Neodiprion lecontei: one gene and its partner. The protein of the gene in region 2 purifies or fractionates together with the protein of the main gene of each other region. This does not show direct contact. Links are inferred from orthologs where the notes say so. Each region holds a gene or a part of one and is shown on either strand. Other genes may lie near its edges.

Region 1 (5,531 bases), on a different chromosome or scaffold from region 2:
AGTGATGTTGTAGTATTGCGAGTAATTGTTTATAGTTTTTCATTCTCTGATACACCAATCCAATACCAAGATATTGACACCAAATTGGAGTTATTAGAAATTGTGCATCATAATTACTATCGTTTCAAGTAATAGAGGTTTCAGGGAATTGAATCAGTGTATCGTACTATGAAAAATATCAAGAATTTTCCATAATTTTATTCTTTCCTGCAAAGTTATCACATTTGCAGAATAATAAAGTCAAAAGGCAACCCATCACGTATTCAGGCATTTGCCAATGACTGCATTTTATCAAATCATCACACTGGGTTCAAATGTAATTCCTAGTAAAGTACCTATGTAGATAATTATTATACTTATGTGAAAATCTGATAATAAAATTCCACAAATCATACGCTACTGGTTACTTTGCGTTGTAGACCATAAGAAGGATGACTGGAAGCATATCAAATTTGGTTAAAATTTGTATTCATCTTTAGTACAGGTAAGGATTATATACAATTGAATTTGGTAGAACATGCTTTTAAGTTATAGTTATATGAAAGATCATTTTGTTAAAAAAAAAAAACAAAAAAAAAACCAATTTCAATCATTTACAAAAGTAAAAAAATGTCACTCATTTTGCCTAATATTTACAAGAACTCTTCACACCAATCACAAAGGCACTGGTAGCAATCTTGAGACTGTTTTGTATTTGCGCTGCATGTATCTTTCATCCATTCTTGAAACAACTCTTTATCCTTCTTCAGAACCAAATATTGCCCAAGAACAACATAAGCCTGTGCGAAATTTCATACAAATTAGAAGTTGAAAATTTGTTACTACGATGTATAAAGTGATGTCTTCTTCAGTAACAATTTCGAGGCTATATGTATGGTAAATGTAACCACGTGTAGTTAACCAAATACGTGACAATCATGGATTACAATTGTTGCACAAACCTTATCAAAACCAGCCGCCTCCAATCTTTTGCCTAAAACTTCACCGACACCAGCAAGTTCAGTCACCGGCTTTTCTCCCATTGGTTCAGCTACGAAGTTTCTGTGCTTTTGCGATGTGCTGGACATGTTGCTAGCTGTGCTTTAACATAATAATTTCAATCAATAGGTGGCTAGTATTGTAACATGTAACCAATATTTTCACAACTGGGATTCACAAATTTTGTAGCTAAGATAAACATGTCGGTTCACTTCGTGAATAATTTCAGAAGTCTATAATCAAGACTACTTTGTAAAAATACGAAATCCTCAGAATCATTCAGAGACCAACAGAAACTGATCAAGAAGTGTCGCACGGGCGCAATGCGGTGTTTCAACTACGATTCAAAGAGTAATAATATCAAAATATCAGGTTTAATATTGTTGCGGGAAATACTATATGATATTAATTTACATACATCCTGAGCGTGTAGTGTGATTTATATGTAGCTATTCAGCACTGGAACGTTTGATTAAAAATTTTCTAGGTCCGCTTGCTTCGGCTAAACTGAGCCAAACTTTGTCAATCACTGATAAATAGGTTCTTCTTCAAATTTGATTATTTTTTTGTTCTTTTTTCTCAACTGATTAGTATTGATACACCAACAAAATTACTGACCCGCATTAATCAACCTTGAACTACAAAGTTACTTAGCCAAGCTGAGCCCAAGCCACCACCCTGACCATAAGCCACGCCGCTGCTGTGGCTGCGTTACCAACCCTCTGGTGGCCATAGGTCGTACCCAATGTGAAAATGGACCGTACTTTGAATTTACAACCGTATACAAAGATTTCACGGAGTACATTTTTGTGGTTTATATTTTATGGTCGTAAAATGACCAAGATTTTGTTCATTTTGTTCCTTTTCTCAAGGACCAGACAGGATTTAACCAAATTATTGACATTGTTACGTTCAAGAATATTTCAAACTAACGATAAAGATTGTGAATTTTTCAATTACACGAAGGAGTTGCTGGGAATTTGGAGAAAATATTATCTTCTTTATTTTTGTATCAATAATTAAAAACATATAACCAGAAATGTGAATTACTCGGACAGTTTCTTTATACTTCCGTACCTGATTCTTTTGCGATATTAGAGGAGAGTCCAAAAATAACTTAAATTCTTAGAATTTTTCCAGGACCGTACATACATTTAGCGTACAGTCAAGCAGGACCGTTATGTCCGTACAGAAGGCAAAATTACCGTATAAATACGGTGCTGACCGTACGGTTGGCAACACTGGCTGAGCTGCACCATGGCCATAGACATTTCTTATATGCCTATGACCATGGCACCTAGTTAGCGGCGATTTTTTATTTTTAAATATTTCGTGTTCACAAAGGCGTCGATGGCGTCGACAAGTGTGTGTGATCGATTAGTCGATCTTGAGCATCCCTGCAAATGACACTCCCCTTCAAAGAGAACACTAGCGAGGTACAAAAAATTAACGTAACGTAGTGCTCTTTGTGACTCCTTGTATAGTTTTCATAGTAGCCATGGGATCACGACGGAGCGTATAAAAAGATGGCGTCCGTGTATAAGATGTAAAATATAGACAAGTTGGGAGAAATGAAAGTTGAGATTATACCGCTGTACGAGTAATTCGTGGCTTAGAAGTGCGAATCTATCTGCTTGAAATCGATAACCGATAAATCAGGTATTGCGATATGTAATTTTAATTTATCACGATTGTGTATCAAAAGTATGGGCTGATTGGACGCAATCGTATTGTAGTAGTATAATTCAGATTTTTTCCTGATAAACAATGCAATTGATGGTTGCAAAGAGTTGTGACAACGCATATTGTTCGTCTAAGAGAATTTTAACAAATATGGCAATGTAAATACTCTGATTCTTTGAGAGGATCTGATTTGTAATCTGGCCAGAAATTGACTTCGATGTCAAGTTTATCTGTGATCAGAGTTACCTAAACTCCTCCGCTCAGCATTTTTTAAAAGACATATTTAAAAAAACTAACTCGTTTGCCATAGATACTTGTCACACTTTGGTCCATGTGAAATGACTACTGATAAATAGCCAGCAGCTAGCCCCGACTAGTATCGGAAACAATTTTTCTATGTTGTCTCTGTCTAGTCCTGGGGCTAACAAGCTGACACAATGCTGAAATCATCAATCAACTTCTACAGTTTATTTCGCCTCTGGTCATTCAATCGTCTAGCATTTTGTTGTGGATATATACCGGGCTACAAACTGCTAACATCAATGCAAATGTCCAATTTTCGTTGCCACTTCTTGAATGGCTCCAAATTGATTGGACTTTGGTGTCATTGGTGAAAGTGGTGCAGCCAAACAACACGCTTGAATTGAATCCACATGCAATAATTACAACACAGTAAATGTTATTATTCTGCCTAAGTTATATTATGCATACCTATATATCTATACTCTATATAAATATTTAAAAAAAATTTATCCAACTCTTCTATGGGCGTATGTACATACATACATATATATATAAATCAGTGTGTATATATATATATACGACTAATCAATAAAGCACCCTTATGTCTCATAAATATATATATTACACACATAAATACACATGCACGCACATACAATATATATATATATATAATACATATTGATGAGAAATAAGGGCACTTTATGTAAAATATGATGAATCATTTTCATTTTCATTTTTTCATTAATAGGTATGAAAATTACCATTGTTCATTTACCAAGATTTAGAAATCAATTTTCTGGATATTTTATAACAACCAAATTAGTATTCTTGTAATATTTGTGTTGGATAGATCCAAGGTAGAGCATAATGCAGCTTTGTCTATTTCACTGATTGATCGTTTCGATACTTTCCTTGAACTTAAACATTAATAATTTTGCCACATGCCACAGTTCCGTGTGTACGCTGCATTCACCACCATTATATCACTACTTCATGTCTGTAGCATCTTAATTTGATCTCCTAGCATATTGGGAAACACTTGAAACCTGGCATCATGTCTGACAATGAGAGCCCTCCCAAGATATTGAGATTAGATGAGGAGGTCAGTACTATAGATGCAAATTTGCCAAATATGGAAGAGGGAAAACCTGTGGAATGCCCATTCAAGAATAACCTGGATGTGCAATCAGACGAGGATGACAGCATGAATTTTACAACTGTTCTTAGATCTGATTCAAATTACAACATTAATCGAGAGAATTTCGAACAAGACAGCGATTTCTCGAAACATAGCAGCCAGAATGTACAAAATGGTTATGACCAGAGTAACGACAATGATTCAAATCTTAGTGGACATGATCCTTGTACCAATGATGAATTGAGACATTTTGATGTTCTCGATGATTTGGAAAGACACCCAGATCAAGGTGGCTCTGATTCTGAGACAGAATCAACTGATAGTATGGATTCTGATGTGCCAGATGAAGAAATAGAAGCCATGCTCGAAGAGGGTTAGTTCACAATTTTATTGACTGCCAAGTTTTCACTTAAATGAATGCTTTACATCAGAAGTATCACCTAATGTGAGTCAGAACTGCCACTGTGAATATACATTACTAATATCTAGTTATTTTTTGCAGGTTTGCCTGACGAATTTAAAGGAAAGCGTAGAAAAAAATCAGACGCAATGCCGTACGAGGAAAAAGAAAAATTGGTTTTAGATGGTACGATATTATAATTGAATAAATCTGTTAACATTCATACATCATTGAAGCAAAATTCTAATTACTAAAAGCATACTTAGCTTATTATCAAGGTCATGAAGTAAAAAAAAGTAATGTTTTAAAGAGGCATTGACTATATGTATATCTTTGGAACTTTTCAAAAACTGATGTAACACATCTTGCCTATTTCTCAAGTGTTGTTTCAATCAGCAAGGACTTGATTACTTTGATCCTCTGAAACCTGGATAAGATTTTTCTATTTTCTTTGATCCAAAAGTACTACAAGATTGATATTATATAAAAATGTATGTTAAATTTTCAGAAATTGGTCACAATCACTTTGACGTTCTACCAGAAGGGTGGGTTCAAGTGACCCACAACAGTGGCCTTCCGTTATACTTGCACAAGCAGAGTCGTGTTTGTACATTAGCTAAACCATATTTCCTTGGACCAGGTAGTGTGCGTAAGCATGAAGTACCTGTCAGTGCTGTACCCTGCTTGCAGTACAGAAGAGCATTGCAGGAGGAAGAAAAAGAAGAAGAAAAGAGAAGAAAGGAAAGAGAAAAAGAACCTGCTGCAGAGACGTGTAGCTTACCCAGTGCTAAAATTGAAACTATTCAAGAAAATAGGGCAGCACATTCTCTAGACAGTGAACAACTCAGAAACTACTGTCAAGCTTTGTTTCGCTTCAAAGCAATTAAAGTCATGAGATTTCAGTACGTCTAAATATTTTCACTCAGCTTTTACTTTACATTCTATTTGGCCAAGATGAAACGTTCAGAAGCAATGGTTGATTTTCATGGATAACAATCTTGAACATGTTCTGAAAATTTGTCATGTAGGTCGTGGTCAGCACGAAGAAAGTTTACAAAGAACAAGAAGCATCGCAAGCAGCTGGAACGG
Region 2 (5,531 bases):
TGATTCTACTTCGTCAAATATTGTAAAAATGTTAAACTCACCGAGCACGAATCCTCGTCCTCCACCCCGTCCAGCTCGACCACCTCCAACCACCTCGGGTTACACCTGGAATAGTAATAAATATTCTCAGTATAGGAACACATTAAGAATATTGTGTAAGGATTAATATAATTAATTAATTAATTAATAATATAATAAATTTTATTAGCACATTTATATCTACCGAATTTGTGCTTGCGCGAAAAATGAATTCAAATAATTTAATGTAAACATGACAAGTTTGAAATATTTTAGATGAAATATAATTACAATTGCCATCAAATATTATAAAAGTGTTTTACTCACCGAGCACAAATCCTCAGTCACCTTCTTCTCCTAGTCTTCCTCGTCCTCCTCCTCGTCGACCTCCGACCACCTCCAACCACCGCCAACCACCGCGGAACACACACACACACACACACACACACACACACACACACACACACACACACACACACACACACACACACACACACACACACACACAGGCGGCTTCTTCACAGGGCTCACGAACTCAACGTCGCACTGCAATCCGTTGTCCGCAGGCCGCTCGCCGTCAAGTCGAAACTTGCCGAACGCATTGTTTGTCTAAAATTCGTTCAAGGCCGTGAGAATCTTCTCGAACCTTCTGGAAGCTTTCAAAACCTGATACACGCCAGGATTCCCGGTCGTACGTTCGAGGATCCACGGGGACCGCTCGAACGCCTGAGGATTCACGGAGTGCGCTCGGTAATGCAGTTATCGATCCCGCTCGATGAGTATGATTTTCTTTACCGACAAAGAATACAACTTATCCTACAAGGGGTAACACCACGACAATTTCAGGCATTTTTTACCGACGATCATGGTCATTTGGAGGATTTTTCACCAACAATCATGGTCATTTGGAGGATTTTTTGGCATTTTCACCGACAATCATGGTCATTTGGAGGATTTTTTACCGACGATCATGGTCATTCGGGAGATTTTCTTACCGACGAACGGTCGGCAGAGCACATTTGATCTTGTGAGAGTGGGAGTAACTTTCAAGGGTTTGCGTCTGGGCTGCGCGGAGCGGAAAAGGGTTTGAGTCTGGGGAGAATGTATAGGCGGACTGGTCGGCTCGGTCGGTAAGGAAGGTGTTTCTACGCAGAACTCTCCTTGCTATACTACTCTGGAGCGCAGAAATCACAGAGCACTTGTACTGGAAGTCAAGGTTCACCAGGTAGTACACCTTATGTGCAGAAACTACGGAGCTCTTGTCTCTGAAGTCGAGTTTCACCAGACAGCGGCTTTGGAGCGCAAGAACTACGGAGCGCTTCTCTTGGAAGTCAAGTTTCACCAGGTAGTTGACCTTGTGCGCATAAACTACGGAGCGCTTGTCCCTGAAGTCGAGTTTCACCAGACAGCGGATCCGGAGCGCAGAAATCACGGAGCGCTTGTCCTGGAAGTTGAGTTTCACCAGGTAGAATACCTAGAGTGCAGAAATCACGGAGCGCTCGTCCTGGAAGTCGAATTTCACCAGGTAGCGTACCTGCTCCGCAGAAACTACGGAACACTTATCCTGGAAGTCGAGTTTCACCAGGTAGCGGACCTGGAGCATAGAAACCATGGAGGGCTTGTCCTGAAACTCGAGTTGCACCAGGAAGCGGACTCGGAGCGCAGGACCCAGGAGGTAGAGAACCCGGTACTCGAAATCTGCGGAGCGCGATTTTCACACATCCGCTCTACTGCGCGGTTGTTTCCACACTGAGGAATTCGGCTAGCTGATTTCAGCTCGATGACGTCAAGAGAAAAAAAATTTTGAGTGACGTCACTTTCTGAACATCCTAACATCCAAACTTTTGTTTCGAACTTTAATACCATGTACGAAGTATGATGTATGATGTACGATGATATGATATGATGTAGAATGATTTTAGTTTTCTCATTTCAAACAAGAAATACGCACTTCATTTTTCGTGCCGATTCCAGACTCAAGCGGGTAGGCCTTTCGATGGTCAGCCGTTGACTAAAGATATATTCTTCAGTTAACGGGTCAGCTAATAACGCTGCTTTTCTGCGACAGTTGGACGATAAAAATTGTTGCTCATACTTTTCAAATGTGTGTTAAAATACACTCGAAGTTTCAAGAAGCTTTTTTCTATCTCTCCAAGTATCAAGAAAAAAAAGAAAAAAAAAATTGCCGTTTCTGTCTCTCTCACACAGTCCGAATCCCGCGATAAGAGCGACACTCGTGGTTACTGGGCAAAACGGCCGCAGTAGTACAGTCTCGTTCGAAAGTGTTAAACTGTTAGGTTATAAAAATGCAAGTGCTTCGTAACGGTAAATAACCATAATTAAAAACGTAATATAGGAAAAGTGATTGAATACACCAAGGAAATGAGATGATGTTCGGTTGATGTGATAAATTATCCATGTATAGTACTATAGAATCTGAATAGGGAAGGAAATATAGGTACAATATTTTATTATACACACAACATGGTACCTCTTACCCCACTATACCATGAATACCGTTGAAAGTTCATACCACTGAAATTGTAAAAGGATTATCTAATGACAGAAGAAGTAGAGAATACAGTGTGGACATAAATACATGCGTCATGGCAACACCACCGATCAACTCCGGCCCACCCTTTTACTGGGGAACCGGACAGCCGGCAGTTCAGAATGTTGGTTACTATCAAGTTCCTCCTCCCAATTTTCCTCCGCCAAATTTAAGTCAGCCTCCTCCATCGTACAATATGCCACCGCCATCAATTGCTGAAAATAAGCTGGCTGACGTCGTTCAACAACAACAATTACCTGGAGGTAGGCCTCGAACTTATCCAAGCTACGCGCCAAACAGTGCATTCATACACCATCAATCTTGCCCGATTCCAAATCCTTCAAATTCAATGTACAACACTACAAATTGCCAGCCGCCAAACTTTCACCCATCAATGTTAGGAGGGTATGATAATTACACATGGAATTTGAAAATTCTTAACAACGCTAACGCCAAGTGGAATCAGACGGACGCAGCATCGGGTTGGAAGCCGTATCAAGACAACCACAATGCTGGCTGGAATAAACAAGGATCATCACAGTCACAGTCGGATCAAGATGCCAAGAATTTTTGTCAATATACTGGGCAGAAATCTTCGTCGAGAAGTTCGTGGAGAGGTAATGTCAGTGGGCCTGGTGTTACGCAACATTTAGCATCAGACGTTCCGAGTCAGCACCACGGAACAGATAGCAGGAGATCTCGAAGTTCTGATAGTCACTCCTTAAGCAGTGGTAATAGAGGCTACGAGAGATCACGTCACGAAGAGAATAAAGCTAAATATGAGAGACATGGAAGGGACAAATCAAATGCCAGAGGAAATTACTACAACGAGGAGAGCGACAAGCGGTCAATGTATAAAAGGAGGGAACGCAGTTCCAGATACAGCTCGCGAGCGAGTATGGAGTTGGGAAAAACTAGTTTCGAAAGTCGGAGTAGAAAGAGGTCACGATCTAGGGAGTCGCATGTTTCCACCATATCGAATGAGATTAGCAATTTTCCTATGAACCAGAAATCGTTGAGCGAAAGAGATCAGCTTTTAGAAAAATACAGGTACTTGACTTTGGGTTTTGCTAGCTTAGTGTAGCGTGACCTCCTTCAAGATGTGACAAAGCTTAAAAGCAAATATATTTTGAAAGTGATGGTCTACGTTCACATGACTGCAGCCTCTTACGATTCACTACGACTTTTTAATACAATAAAGGTTTTTCATTTAATAGGCGGAATTATTGTGCGACAAGTAAAGACATGGAAAAGAAATTGGATGAGCTGTCTGCGATGGGACCGGAAGGAATAATAGAACACGAGAGAAAGGTGTGGACTCGCACAGCACCAGCCGACCTCTACTACGCACGTGATGAATTGAAACCAAAAATTATGACAGGCACTCCAAAATTGATGGAATTATGTGATATTTTCAAGAAGTTATTAGTTGATAGGTCCGGTACAGCTAGAGCATTGCAGGTTTGTAGTAGACAAAAACATTTTTCAGTTTTGTTGGCAGTAATAATATACTTCTCCATTTTATCTCATTTTCTTCATTCACATAAAAACTATTACCTGTTGTTTATGAGATGCGTGACTCTGATTGGTCCGTCGTTCAGATAAATTTGATGGTTTCGTATTCTACAGCCACCATATGAGCCACCACCAAGAAAAAACAGAGCCAGATTGTGCAGGCATAAAACTGAAGCTTGTAGTAGTTCGTCATCAGACAGCGACACTTCAATGGATGAAGATGACCGAACAATGGAAGAATTAATGGCAAAAAAACAGCATCCACAACGTCTGCATCCAGAAATGTGGTTCAATGACCCTGGGGAGGTAGTATTTTTAACTTATCTTTAATAATCCCGAACAAGAGAATTTAAAATTACAGTTCATACAAGGTGGCCAACAGCAAGTAATGTCTATTAATACTTAAAGATAAGTTCATAATTATTGATGATTTTAAAAACACTCGATTTTTTTCTTTAATTAAAATATTCAGTCCCATTGTTCACTTTGGTCTGATTGTAATAAATTTTACAAGTGATTATATTTAAATTACTGTTTCAGATGAATGACGGCCCTCTTTGTAGATGCAGTGCCAAATCGAGAAGATCCGGTATTCGGCATGGTATTTATGCTGGCGAGGGTGTCATTAAAAAGTGTGAATTGAATTCGAACAATGCAGATAAATTGTACCATTACCGCATAACTATCAGTCCGCCAACAAATTTTTTAACCAAGACTCCAACCATTATCAAACACGACGAACACGAATTTATATTTGAGGGATTTTCAATGCTCTCTCATTTCCCTCTTGTCAAATTACCAACCTGTAAAGTTATCCGCTTCAATATCGAATACACAATTCTATACATTGATGAGAAATTGCCAGAAAATTTTACCATCAGAGAACTGGATTTATTTCGTAAGTGTGGCAATTGCTTAATAATTTCAAAGAGTTGTCAATTTCACGTAATTCGACTGGAATATACGGGCGTAGTTATTTTTCTAATCATTTTATATTTTTTAGAGGATTACCTGTTCCAGCAGATACTGGAATTGGTAGATTTTGATCTACGTGCTGCTCAAGATACAGCCGGTTGTGATCAATTTCATTTTATGCCCAGATTTGTCAGAGATTTGCCGGACAATGGGCAGGAAATATTGTCTATGAATGAAGTTCTTAATTACTTAATCAAAAGCAGTAAGCCATTAATTGACGCCGACGATCTGAGCAGGCTTGTCGATATGCCTCAATATAAGTGGCAGAATTTCGCCGACGAAGTGAAAGGTATGGTGGTGACTTATCCCGGTAAAAAACCTTGCAGCGTCAGAGTTGATCAATTAGATAGAAGTCAAGACGATCAACCTCCGGGTGTCATTTCGTATCCTGAAATCGTTCATTTCGGTATCAGGCCACCACAGCTGAGCTATGCTGGTAACGCAGAGTGAGTATTGATTTTTGAATAAATAT

What was found. Proteins that work in one complex are often made in the same cells at the same time.
Region 1: the proteins of ribonuclease 3 (region 2) and microprocessor complex subunit DGCR8 purify together in Drosophila melanogaster (affinity purification with western blotting; 4 studies listed by BioGRID, with this or other methods). This does not show direct contact. The link is inferred for Neodiprion lecontei from reciprocal best matches to the Drosophila melanogaster genes drosha and pasha.

What each region holds. Positions count from the first base shown.
Region 1 is NC_060262.1:28,356,015-28,361,545, reverse strand, and holds the start of microprocessor complex subunit DGCR8, read left to right. Parts: upstream 1-2,233; 5' UTR 2,234-2,381; coding exon 2,382-2,414; exon of another isoform or gene 2,415-2,637; intron 2,638-2,662; exon of another isoform or gene 2,663-3,333; intron 3,334-3,928; coding exon 3,929-4,415; intron 4,416-4,544; coding exon 4,545-4,628; intron 4,629-4,950; coding exon 4,951-5,344; intron 5,345-5,470; coding exon 5,471-5,531. Other genes in the region: barrier-to-autointegration factor, read right to left, coding at 633-779, 942-1,067.
Region 2 is NC_060263.1:8,282,111-8,287,641, forward strand, and holds the start of ribonuclease 3, read left to right. Parts: upstream 1-2,285; 5' UTR 2,286-2,624; coding exon 2,625-3,619; intron 3,620-3,786; coding exon 3,787-4,030; intron 4,031-4,198; coding exon 4,199-4,390; intron 4,391-4,624; coding exon 4,625-4,982; intron 4,983-5,087; coding exon 5,088-5,505; intron 5,506-5,531.